Oryctolagus cuniculus: one gene and its partners. The protein of the gene in region 2 purifies or fractionates together with the protein of the main gene of each other region. This does not show direct contact. Links are inferred from orthologs where the notes say so. Each region holds a gene or a part of one and is shown on either strand. Other genes may lie near its edges. The genes, in order: CCDC12, CRNKL1 and PPIE.

What was found.
Region 1: the proteins of CRNKL1 (region 2) and CCDC12 purify together in Homo sapiens (co-immunoprecipitation; 3 studies listed by BioGRID and IntAct, with this or other methods). This does not show direct contact. The link is inferred for Oryctolagus cuniculus from reciprocal best matches to the Homo sapiens genes CRNKL1 and CCDC12.
Region 3: the proteins of CRNKL1 (region 2) and PPIE purify together in Homo sapiens (affinity purification with mass spectrometry; 3 studies listed by BioGRID and IntAct, counting the BioPlex papers as one, with this or other methods). This does not show direct contact. The link is inferred for Oryctolagus cuniculus from reciprocal best matches to the Homo sapiens genes CRNKL1 and PPIE.

Annotation. Positions count from the first base shown.
Region 1 is NC_091441.1:101,793,026-101,797,115, reverse strand, and holds the start of CCDC12 (coiled-coil domain-containing protein 12), read right to left. Parts: upstream 2,815-4,090; 5' UTR 2,646-2,814; coding exon 2,603-2,645; intron 2,395-2,602; coding exon of another isoform or gene 2,218-2,394; intron 1,990-2,217; exon of another isoform or gene 1,909-1,989; intron 1,827-1,908; coding exon of another isoform or gene 1,784-1,826; intron 625-1,783; coding exon of another isoform or gene 509-624; exon of another isoform or gene 310-508; intron 187-309; coding exon 44-186; intron 1-43. Other genes in the region: NBEAL2 (neurobeachin-like protein 2), read left to right, coding at 509-624, 1,784-1,826, 2,218-2,394.
Region 2 is NC_091442.1:44,670,199-44,674,213, forward strand, and holds the start of CRNKL1 (crooked neck-like protein 1), read right to left. Parts: upstream 2,848-4,015; 5' UTR 2,730-2,847; coding exon 2,679-2,729; intron 1,257-2,678; coding exon 1,104-1,256; intron 360-1,103; coding exon 268-359; intron 1-267. UniProt on the Homo sapiens protein: Involved in pre-mRNA splicing process. As a component of the minor spliceosome, involved in the splicing of U12-type introns in pre-mRNAs.
Region 3 is NC_091438.1:133,125,541-133,129,126, forward strand, and holds part of PPIE (peptidyl-prolyl cis-trans isomerase E), read right to left. Parts: intron 2,574-3,586; coding exon 2,450-2,573; intron 1-2,449. UniProt on the Homo sapiens protein: Involved in pre-mRNA splicing as component of the spliceosome. Combines RNA-binding and PPIase activities.

The DNA of each region.
Region 1 (4,090 bases), on a different chromosome or scaffold from region 2:
ACGTTGACTGCTTGAGCTGCGGCCCTCATTTCGCATTTCTCACCTTACGCCCGGTTTTCTCCCGCAGGGCCCTCAGCCTCTCCTTCCGCCGCAGAGCCTCCTCCTCCAGCCGGCCCACACCGGCCGCAGCCGCCGCCATGTTGCCTACCGACCCCCTCCTTTTCTGTCGTGATGTGTCGCGCTGACCTAAGGAAAGTAGATGAGTGTCTCGCGGCCAATCCGAGGGCGAGAATAAGGGAGCCGGAAGTGTGGCAGGCCAATCAATGCTTAGTTGCTACGGGAGGGCCCGCCCCGCTCCCGCCGCGCCCCCGCCGCGCCCCCGCCCTTTTCCTCACAAGCAGCTCGGCTAGCCCACGGGGTACCGGCCAGGGGAGAAAGAAGATGCTAAGGCTCAAGTGTCCAACTCTAATCAGTGAGAAAACAGCAAATCGACTCAGACCTGAGGGGCGGAGCCTAGCGTGCGTCGATCTCTTGGGTTTTGCCTGAGCACTTAATCACGGCTCACCTCATGCCGGCCTCTTGGAGTGCCCTGACCCATCCTTGTGCACTTGTCCTGAATCTTCAGGGCTCCAGTGCCTTCCAGAAGCTTTCCTTGACTCCACTCCGATCCCACCCTAACCTGAGGTCAGTCTCTTCCCTCCTCTGCTGCTGTCAGTGGCTCCTCGGACTCGCCTCACCAAGTACCCTAAGCCCGTCTGTGGCCATCACTGTCGCTCGAAGCCTGCAGCGTGGACGGCGGTTTCCCTCCGGGGTTCACAGATGATACCCTGTCACCCCCACCGCCTCCTGGAGAGGCAGAGTACCCGGGGCAGGCTGCCTTCCCTGGGAAGAGCAAACTGCAACAAGACCCAGTTAGCCCCAAGGAGCCACCTCAACCCCCACCCCCACCCCCAGCTTAGGGAAAGTCGGTTGGGCCTCGACTGGAGCAAGTGCATGGCCACAGGTGTCTGGCTCCCCGGCGTCTTCTCTCTACATTAGTCAGTGCGGCCTGATAACAGACCACATCAGCTGTGGTCAAGAACTGTGAGCCCGGCAGGGTCCTCAGAGCCACACCCACAGGGGACGACTAGCCTCTGAGCAAATCTGCGGCCTCCCTTATCAGGCCGGCTGCAAGCAGTTGTTCGGGCCTCCCATCCCAAGTCCCATGGCCCACAGACCCCCGTCTTGACTTCATGAACCTGCATCTGTCTAGGCCCTGTCTCCTGCCATGGGGGCAGTGCTCTGCCAAGGCCTGGCACACAGCTTGTGGCCGCTTAGGGACTGTCAGCTCAGAGCCGGGATGCGCCAAAGGCCAGGCCGAAGGAGCCACCCGAGAGGCCAGGAGAGGAGACAGGGTCTGTCTTCTCTCGGCCACCCAAGATCTAACGGACCGTAGGTCTGCCAATTCCTAGGACTAATGGCCGAGAAACTTCCATCCGCCCTCCCTCAACAAAGAACCTGACTCCCGCTCAACACCGGGGGCCTCCTCACTTCACAGGCAGCCTGGGCCCAAGCAAAGAGTCAGTCAGGCCTGTGTCCCCATCCCAGCTGCCTCTGGCGGCCAACCTGGTCGTCTTTCGGCCTGTCTCAGTATCTCTACGGACACGGAGGCACGAGGCACCCCCCCCCATGAGGTTAACAAAAGAAGTCAGGCAAGGGCTGGGCCCTGGCGTGGGGGTGGGGGTGGGGGGGCACCTCCAGGAGGAGGGGACCTTGCCCTCTGTCCTTGGACAGAGCCCCCCAGAGGCATTCCCGGCTTATCCTGCCGCTTTTCTCTGCTCTTCCTCATCCGCTCTGCAAACAGCAGGAGCTCAGAAGCAGCCTTAGAAGAACGCCTGGCACGCGTGGTAAGCAGCCAGCGATTCTCACGAGGGAGGTTATTATGGGCCCCAGACCCTGTCCCCAGCCCTGTCGCCGAATGCCGGTAACCTCAGCTCTCTGGTACAGGCAGATCCGACCCCATGTCCCAGGGTCTCCGAAACGCCTCTCCACAGCCACTCGTGGGGGCGCGGCCCGCGGGGAGAGGGGGGCGGGGCGCCCTCGCGTCCCCTCCCGGATCTCAGGCTCCTCCTCCCGCTGGGCTCCCCGCCCTTTTCACGGTCCCAGGAGAGGCGGGGCGGCGGTGGCGGCCGCGGCGGCGAAGTGCAGGAAGCCGAGCGGGGGGCGGGGGGGAGGAGGAGGAGGGTGTCGGCTTGGGTGGCTCAGTGCGGCGCGGACTAGAGCCGTGAACTTCCCCAGCAGGACCGCGCTGCTCCTCCCCGGAGTGACGCCCTCCGCCCATGGGCCTGGCCGGGGGCAACCGGCGGGCGGCGCGGAGGAGGCGGCGACAGGTGGCGCGCAGCTGGGCCGGAGCCGGGTCAGGCCATGGCCGCCTCCGAGCGGCTCTACGAGTTGTGGCTGCTCTACTATGCGCAGGTGAGCCAGCCCCGCGCAGCGCTCGCTGTGCCCCCAAAGCTCCGCGCGGCCCGCGCCTGCTGCACCTGCGCCCCGCGCTGCCGGGGCTGCGCCTATGAAAGCTGGGTGTGCTCCGGCTCCGCACACACACGTGCGTGTCCCCTGCCGGCCGCTCTGGCGCTTAAACTGGGCGGGGGGGGGGGAGGGGGGCGCGGTGCGCAGTACTCACAGGTGTGCACTTTTACAGCAACGGCTACAGCAAGACCGCACATCCTGAGTCTTGCAGGGAGAGGGGCATCGCTGAGGCATTTACAGAGGGGGAAACTGAGGCTTGGAGCCAAAAGAGCCGTCTGAATTGAAGGGGGGGGGTGGAGTACTCAGTTTGCCTGTGGGCTGCTCCTGCTGTGGACACAGCCGGTTGAGGGGTGGTGGCCATCGGGCCAACTGGGCTGGAGGTCTGAGCAGGCACAGGTCTGACCTGAGTCACGAGTCCCCAGAGAACTGGTGGTCATAGGCTCCTCCTGGAGTGGAGGTAGCCCCACCCCTCTCCCATTCTGGGGTGGGGCGTGCTGGGGGGGTTGAGGCAGGAGAGATGTCTGAGAGGGATGGAGGGAGGCCATTGCCTCTGGGCTCCCTAGCTCGCTCTCAGAGACTACTTCAGGAGGCCTCAGAAGCAGAGGGGAGTGGCCCTGACCCTGGCGTCCCTTGAGCTCTGTCCCCACACATAGGCCCCCACTTTCCCTCGGCAGCCACGCCTCCCTCCCTGCACCTGCCTGGCATCGTGCTGCTGGCTCAGGTGTGCCCTGGGCACAATGGGCCATTGTGTGCCCCTGAGCAGCTTCTCACCGAGAGGAAGTTAACGTTCAGCCCAGCTGGCCCTCCTGAAGAGGCTGCCCAACGGTCTCTGAGGCACCTGTGGCTCAGGCCATGGGAGCCACAGCCTCTTTGGTTGGCCCAGGTCGTGGGCTGCCCAGACCCCCAGCAGGAGGCAGGCCTGGTGTAGCAGAGTCCCTCTTCGGGGAGACCCACATCAAGCTCTTTGCAGTTCTGAGCCCCTACTTCCCTGACTGTGAAATTGACACAGTCTTGATCTGAACAAAGTGGGTAACACTTGGACTTGCCGCTGCGGCCAACTCAGGCCAGAGAAGGCTCCTGCTTGCCTGTTCCCATTGAGTCCTCTAATCTGGAAAGAACAAAAGGTCTAGAGGGAGGCTACTCCTGCCCTCATACCTCTGATTGCCTGTGGCTGTGGCATGTTCTTGGCTTAAGCCACGTGATGAGTCTGAGGGATGTTCCTGGTAGGTCTTCAGGCTGGGGAGTAGGCTGTTGGGGTTGTCTGGGTACAGTCTCCCAGCACACCCCCCAGGACCATGGCCTCCCGATGCCCCCCGGAGCACCCCATCCTCTCTAGGTGTTCAGCATTCATGTGTGCTGAGGCTGCCTTCCCCTGCCTGCACACCTCCCAGGACAGGTATGGGGGCACAGGCTGGAAGCCTGGGCAGGCAGGGGGCAGCCCGGGGCCAGGCAAACAAATCCAGGATGTAAGAGCAAACTCGGGATCCGGGCGGGGCCAGGCCGCCCGGGGAGAGGAAGCGCTGGTCAGCCTCCCCACGCTGCCTTCCTGCCCGCCTGGAACAGAACAGCTTCCCCACCCCTGTGTGCTGTACTCCCAGGGAGGGTAGCACCAGGCAACTTTGAATCCTACTAAGAGACCTGT
Region 2 (4,015 bases):
AGCCAGAAGTCAGGAGCTTCATCCTTGTCTCCCCTGTGGCTGGCAGGTGGCCCAAGCACTTGGGCCATCTTCAGCTGCCTTCCCAGGAGCATTAGCAGGGAGCTGGATCAGAAGTGGAGCAGCTGGGACTCAAACCAGCACCCATACGGGATGCTGGTGCTACAGGAGGTGGCTTCACCCACTGTGCAGAAGTACACTTTTTTACTTCTGATTTAACTTTAACGGTTAACTTACAATTTCTTTGTGTTATATTCTAAGCAATTTTACCTTTGAATCTCCTTCAGACTCTCCTCCCATTGTGCGTATTTTATCCAGTTGCTAATTACAGTCCTGTTTTTCCTTATGTTATCTTCAAAAGTCTGGAAGGCAGCAAAAAGGGTTGAATTAAATGGGAAAATGGCATCACCTTTTGTCTACTATAAGCCTTGTACTAAAAACACTATTATTTTGTTCTCTTTTAAAAGAGAAATGACATACTGGAATCCTTGACGAATCAGACACCAGAAGTTACAACTACTGATGTTTTTTCAAACTCTTACATCCAAACAAAACTTTGGCTAAGAAGAACTGCAGGCAGACTTGCTGGTGTTTCCTCCCGTTGCTCAAGACACACTTTATATTTGCTTCCAATAAGGCAATGCTTTTGCAAAGTAACTTTACGTCCTCTTGGTAACTCTGATTTCACCCATAGCTCACTAGATGGGACATGATGAGAGGTCTAAAATAATCTCACATTCCCGAGTGAGGAGGTCAGATCAGACCCAACATCGTCTCACGACTCTGTGCTAGGTCTTACCCACAGAAGTACGGCAGCCAGCCATGCAAAGGACACGCCTCTCCCACCTGTGCGTCTTCCACCTGCTAACCTTTCCGCCATCTTTGATTCAGCACCAGAAATTACGTCTCTGGCAGGCTTAACTGCTTTGTATTTTAGGTTAACAACTCAGTTTATTTTTATATAGTTCAGCAAAAGCAGTTAGTTCACCAGAGAGCTAGGAACATTAACCTCGTCTTAACCATACAGACTCTCACCGATCAGGAACTTTTCAAACTCTGCCCTTTAATTCTAAACAACTAAAGAGACAGAGAGAAATCAGACTTACCTTCCTTTTCCTTAGCTTGTAATCGTTTAATTCTTCTTCATCTGTGATCTTCTGCTGAGGTGGAGGTGGAAGCAGCTCAAGTTCTCTTTCTTTCGCTTCTCTCAAGAGTTGTTCAGCAGTTATTTGTACTTCAGCGGGAGCTTTGTTTTTGACCTTTTTCATAAAAAAGAAAAAAGAAAATTTAGACATTTCTATTTGGGTAGACACTCTTCAGATAGGGTTTAAGAAACAAACACACGGTTTTCAGAACGCAGACTCTAAGATGCCCCCTCTGGATGACAAGTGTCCATTTCTCAACACTGAAGAAAATGTTTTCCATTTCACACGCAGTACCCATTACAAGTCAGTAGGTCAAAGTCTCACGAGAAAAAACATGGAAAAAGCAATAGTGACTTTTCCTTTTTAAATGAGTAAAATGGTAAACTTTGAGGCTTGCTAGGTAAAATTCTCACCAGAGATTTTAAGATGTATTCATATAACATCACAACTTTTTTTTTTTTTTAACAATTTTTAAAAAAATTTATCTAAGGGGGCAGGTGCTGTGGCATAGTGGGTATAGCCGCTGCCTGCAGTGTTGGCATCACGGGCACTGGTTTAAGACCCGGCTGCTGCTCTTACAATCCAGCTCTGTGCTATGGCCTGGGAAAGCAGTGGAAGATGGCCCAAATCCTTGGGCCCCTTCACTCACATGGGAGACCCAGAAGAAGCTCCTGGCTCCTGGCTTCGATTGGCACAGTTCTGGCAGTTGAGGCCAACTGGGGAGTGAACCAGCGGATGGAAGACCTCTCTCTCTGTCCCTGCCTCTCTATAACTCTGCCTTTCAAATAAATCTTTAAAAAAAGTTAACATCACCTGTTTACTGTTACCTTCTAACGCGATTAAGAGAAAATTTTAAGTTACAAACAGGCTTCCTTTATTGCTATTGGGCCAGTGGCACTCAATAACAATGTATGGAATGGAATTTTAAGAAACTTTTTTTTTTTTTTTAAATTTACTTATTTGAAAGGCAGAGAGAGAAAGAGAGCTGCCATCTGCTGGTTCACTCCCCAAATGTCCACAGCGGCCGGGGCTGGGCCAGGCTGAAGCCAGCAGCTCCCTCCGGGTCTCCTGCACTGCTGCAGGGGCCCGAGCACTTGAGCCATCCTCCACTGCTCTCCCAGACGCATCGGCAGGGATTTGGATCGGAACTGGAGCAGCCGCGACTCGAACCGGCGGCCACACGGGATGCCGGCGGCTTCACCCTCTACACCACAGCGCCGGCCCCCAGCAGCAGGAGTCAATGCGTCCTGGGACGCACAGACAGCACCCACGACACGAGCACTCAGGGCAAACACCTGACACGCATTACTGGCTGCGTGAACGGAAGAGGTCAAGTTCAAGGGGCTGGAAAAAGGACACCCGCGAAGACTCAGGCCGGGGCCCGCCGCTGATGGACTCCGGCTGGTCAGTCTACCCCCCTTGCCCGCGCCCTCCCGGGGCCGGCGCGACCAGCGCCCCACACAGACCGCCCTACTGCAGCCCGCGGCCGGCTGTGCCTCGCCGCGGGCACACACACAGAGCAGCACTGCCGCTTACCTTGGCCACTTTAGGAATTCGCTGCTTCCCAGCCGCGGTGGACGCCGCCATGTCTGCAGCAACGGACCTCGGGAGACCAGCTCCCCTCGCCGACAACAGAAACGGCTCCCCGAGGCTCGCCTACACCACAAAAGCTTCCCCACCGACCGACGGATTCCCGGAACCGGAAGCGGAACTCCCGAGGACGACCTTTGACCTCGCGCATGCGCCATGACCACGGTAGAGCCGTTGCCGTGGTAACTAGACAGCGCGTCCTCCTCGGAGCTGGAAGCAGAGCTCAGCGTCCTGGAGTTGGGGTTGAGGTGGGTACGCGGGGACTGGATCCAGGGTGTCAAAGGCTCACTCCCAGATCAGCTTCTGGGACTGGGATGATCCTAGGAGAACGGGTTCGTGTGTTCAGCCGAGGCGCCTGGATAGGGAATTGGAGCCAACCTCTGCTCTAGACGCTGCAGGGCCGGGGACGTCAGGAACGGAGGGGAAACTACCATTCCCGGCGTGCCCAGGGGGAGCCTGCGCCGCGTTGCATTCTGGGCTTTATAGTCTCCGACGTCCGTGCCCACAGCTTCCAGTTCTCGGCCAATAGTGCGCCGCTAATTAAACTCTGGAGCCTGGAATCCCGGGTCTTTTCCAAGGCAGGTGTTAGGAAAAAGTGAGAACACATGAGCAGAATAACTAGTGAACTACCCCGCCTTGCGGTAAGAAACGTGTTTAACATTTTCAGGTGTGCCCCGGTCACCGAAATTCTCAGGCCAGGGGCCTCGGCTGCGCAGCGGGGCTCGTAGCTTCGCCCGGTTTCCCCAAGATGGAAGGGAAACACAGCTGTGAGGTTCTCAGTGATAGCCCTCGACCTTTCCTCAGGGGCAGGGAAGTGAGGCCAGCGGTGCCGAGGAGGTTGGGAAGGGACTCCTGGCCTCGCAGCAAAGTTGAGCAGAGGGAAAGCGACTCGCCCAGCCGGCCCGCGGCGCCTCTCCCGAGTCCGCAGTTTGGGGCTCTCTCCTGGCGTGGTGCGCCCTGTAGGGTCAGGCAGCGGCGTGCTGACGCGAATCCAACCGTGGTATCGCCCAGCTCCCCCTCACACCCTCAGATCCCACCCCTGTTCATCCCTTTCTCCCCCAAACTCCAGGAAACTTCTGATTAAAAAAAATTTTTTTTTGCATTTTCTAGAATATCGAGCAGTTGGATAATATGTAGATTTGTCAGATTGTCGTCTTTTTAAAGATTTTATTTGAGAGGTAGAGCTACAGAGAAGGAGAGGGAGAGAGGTATTCCATCGCTGGTTCGCTCCCCAAATGGCCACAAAGTCCGGACTGGGCTGATCCAAACCCAGGAGCCAGGAG
Region 3 (3,586 bases), on a different chromosome or scaffold from region 2:
GAAAGTACAGAGTTCCTTCCTGGTAGGCTCAGAGTTTTTGCTTGGGGTGATGAAAAAAATCCTGAAAATAGGTAGCAGTGATTATGGTACAACATAGTAATTAACATATACTTAAAATAATTAAAATATCCAAAAATAATTTTTAAAAGGGGGTAGTGGTGAGACCATAACAAAAACATTTTTGAAAGCTAGAAAACAAATAAATGATAAAGCAGATCTAAAAAAGCTGATTTTAAGATTGCAAAAACCAAGAAGCAACTGAATTTACATTCCAAAAGCTCAATACAAGGGAGAAGGTAATTCTAAGAAGAGTAGGCCTGGCTGAAGTCCTGTTCAAGGAGTGGCTAACCCTAGATCTTCCTCTTCTTGACCCTGCAGCGAGGGCTGCCTCTGCCGGTGGATCTACTCTCTGGTGAGGAAAAGCAGATGGCTGAGGGCTGAGGCACCATCATGACAAAGGGAGACAAGGTAGAAGGTTAGGTACTGAACATGGAGGCATTCAGCCCTGCCCTCACAAGCTGGCAGACAGCTGTATGTAGAAAACCCAGCAGGAGGACTTGGGAGAGAATCAGGAGTAAATACACAGGTGATAATTCCAGGCAAAACAGAATGCTGTGCATGGAATACGTTTATCATATGCTTACATAGGTAAAATAAACAACGACCTAACCACAGTCATGGAACCTATACGAGGCAATAGATTTTCTTTTCTTTTCTTTTTTTAATGACTTTTCTTTTCTCTAAGATCTATTTATTTATTTATTTGAGTGGTGGAGTTACAGTCAGTGAGAGGGAGAGACCGAGAGAAATGTCTTCCTTCTGTTAGTTCACTCCCCAGATGACTGCAATGGCCAGAGCTGTGCTGATCCGAAGCCAGGAGCCAGGTGCTTCTTCCTGGTCTCCCATGTGGGTGCAGGGATCCAAGGACTTGGGCCATCTTCTACTGCTTTCCCAGGCCATAGCAGAGAGCTGGATTGGAAGAGGAGCAGCCAGGACTAGAACCAGTGCCCATATGGCATGCTGGCACCGCAGGCAGAGGATTAACCCACTGCGCCATGACGCCGGCCCCATTAGATTTTCAAAAGCTAATAATTCCTTCTATTCAAGTAGGAAGTCAAAAGATAATATCTAGGAGCTGGCACTGTGGCGTAGCAGGTAAGGCCACTGTGTGCAGTGCTGGTATCCCATATGGGCACTGGTTCAAGTCCCGGCTGCTTCACTTCCAGTCCAGCTCTCTGCTGTGGCCTGGGAAGGCAGTGGAAGATGGCCCAAGTCCTTGAACCCCTGCACCCATGTGGGAGACCTGGAGGAAGCTCCTGACTCCTGGCTTCAGATCAGCCCTATTCCAGCCCTTGCAGCCACTTGGGGAGTGAACCAGCAGATGGAAGACCTTTCTCTCTCTGCCTCTGCTTCTCTGTAACTCCTCCTTTCAGTAACATAAATAAATCTTAAAAAAATAATGTCTAAAATGGAAAAACCAGGAAGTAGAAACCTACAACTTCAGGAAGCAAAAACCAAAGGAACTGGCCAAGAGTTGAAATGAACTGCCTGTAAGGAGCAGCAAATGGTGCTGGCAGTGGAGTGAGGTGCAGCACAGCACCAGGGGACTACCAGTTTTACAAATTGGCTTTGTGAAATTGACTCGGGCATTTGACATAGCATTAATACAGCTTGGGACAACTGTATCCCTTATTGTAGTGCCTGGGTTTGAGAACTGACTACACTCTCTATTCCAGCTTCCTGCTAATGCACGTCAGAGGGGGTAGCAGGTGATGGTGAGTTACTGGCTCCTAGCTTTGGCCTGGTCCAGCCTTAGTTATAGCAGGCATTTGGGGAGTGAACCAGAGGATGAGAGATCTGTCTCTGGCTTTAAAATAAATAATAAAAATTTATAATAAAAAGTCAATATTTAACAAACTAGAAGAGACAATCAAGAAACTGTCTGCAGGCCTAGAGTGTGGCACAGCAGGTTAAGCCGCTGCTTATGATGCTGGCATCCCATATTGGAGTGCCAGTTTGAGTCCTGGTTATTCTGCTCCCAAGCCACCTTCCTGCTAACGTGCCTGAGAGTATGGCACAAGTACTTAGGACCCTGCCACCGACACGGGAGACCAGGATGGGATTCCCGGTTCCAGGCTTTGGCTTGGCCTGAAGCTCTGGGTGTTGTGGGCTTTTGGGGGAGGGGGGTGAGCCAGTGGATAAAAATTGTCTGTCTCTCTCTCTCTAATAATGCAAGAGAAAAAAAAAGGTAATCTACCACTTAAGACAATCTCAAAAATACCTGCTCTGACTCTGTTACTAGATTCCAGGAAATGAGATACCTCAAACTGATTCAGGTTTAAAAAACAACAACAACAACAACAAAATCGTCAAGGGTACCAAAAGTGAGGCAGAAGTCTGTCACTGGTCGCCTACAGCTTCCTGCTGGCCTAGACAGAGGCCTACCCACCTGCTGTCATGGGTACAACATCTGAACGCAGGAGCATCTGGATGCGGCCAGCTGGTTTATTCCCAATCTTGATGTCCATGTACACCTGAGGATTTGACCGGGCCTTTTTCGCAGTGGGCTCTCCCTGGGTACCGAAGAAAAGTGCTGGTTAGAGAGAATGCCTGACTTCCCAAACACAAGCACAGACAACGCCCTGCACACAAACACCCAGAACACAACGCCAGCAAGCAGGCTGGAGCAAGGTGCTGACAGGAAAGGTCTTGGACCTGACACTGCTACAGGAGGCACGAGCCATGGCCACAGCACCCAGCTGGACATGCAGTTGTCGCTCCCCCTCTTCATGGAGGAACGACACAGGACCCTGCACTGTTCTTTCATCTGCTCGGCCCTCCCCGGGTTCGCCGCCGGCTCCTCCCGGGTTGGCTACTATCCCTTCCACCTCCGTGGAAGGGCAGTTCCCCCTGGCCGCATTCCCCACTTCCGCAGGGGAGCGGCACACCGCCGGCCGGTTCTCTCGGGGGCTGCACGGGTTCCCTTAGATGTTCCCCATAGATGTTCCCGGTGCATGCCGTCTCTCTCCTCCTTTGTAGTCCTCCTCCGCCAATCCCAACTCGGCTGCCCACACGCCGAGTACGCTGCTCTCCAATCAGGAGCAAGTCCTACAGTTAATTGGTTGAACTGGAGGCAGCTGTGCGGAAGCTGTTTACTTCTCTCCCAGCGCCATATTGTGGGAGAGCAGATGCATAGAATAAGTCTTAATTCCAGTAACTCAGTCCAGTCCGGATTGCTCCCCACATGCAGTGACAGGAGACCTCAGCACTACCTCACTCGACCCCAGTTCCAGGCACGCTGTCTCATCATCCTGCGTCCCCCTGCCCTGCAGTCACAGAACAGCACACTCTTCTGGCCCCCACTGCACAACTCTCACCAACTTCCAACACTGGTTCAAGCCCAGCCACCGTACTCCAGTTAAGCAGACCCATTCATGTACCAGCCCCTCTGCCCTCTACAGTGAGCCCTGAAGAGTCACAAACTGGCCACGTGGACGCAGAGGAGGAGCCCAGTCTTCAGTGGAGGAGGAGGCGGGTCAGGAATGGTGGAAACGAGCACCCAATCTTCCTCCTTGTCATTGGTAAT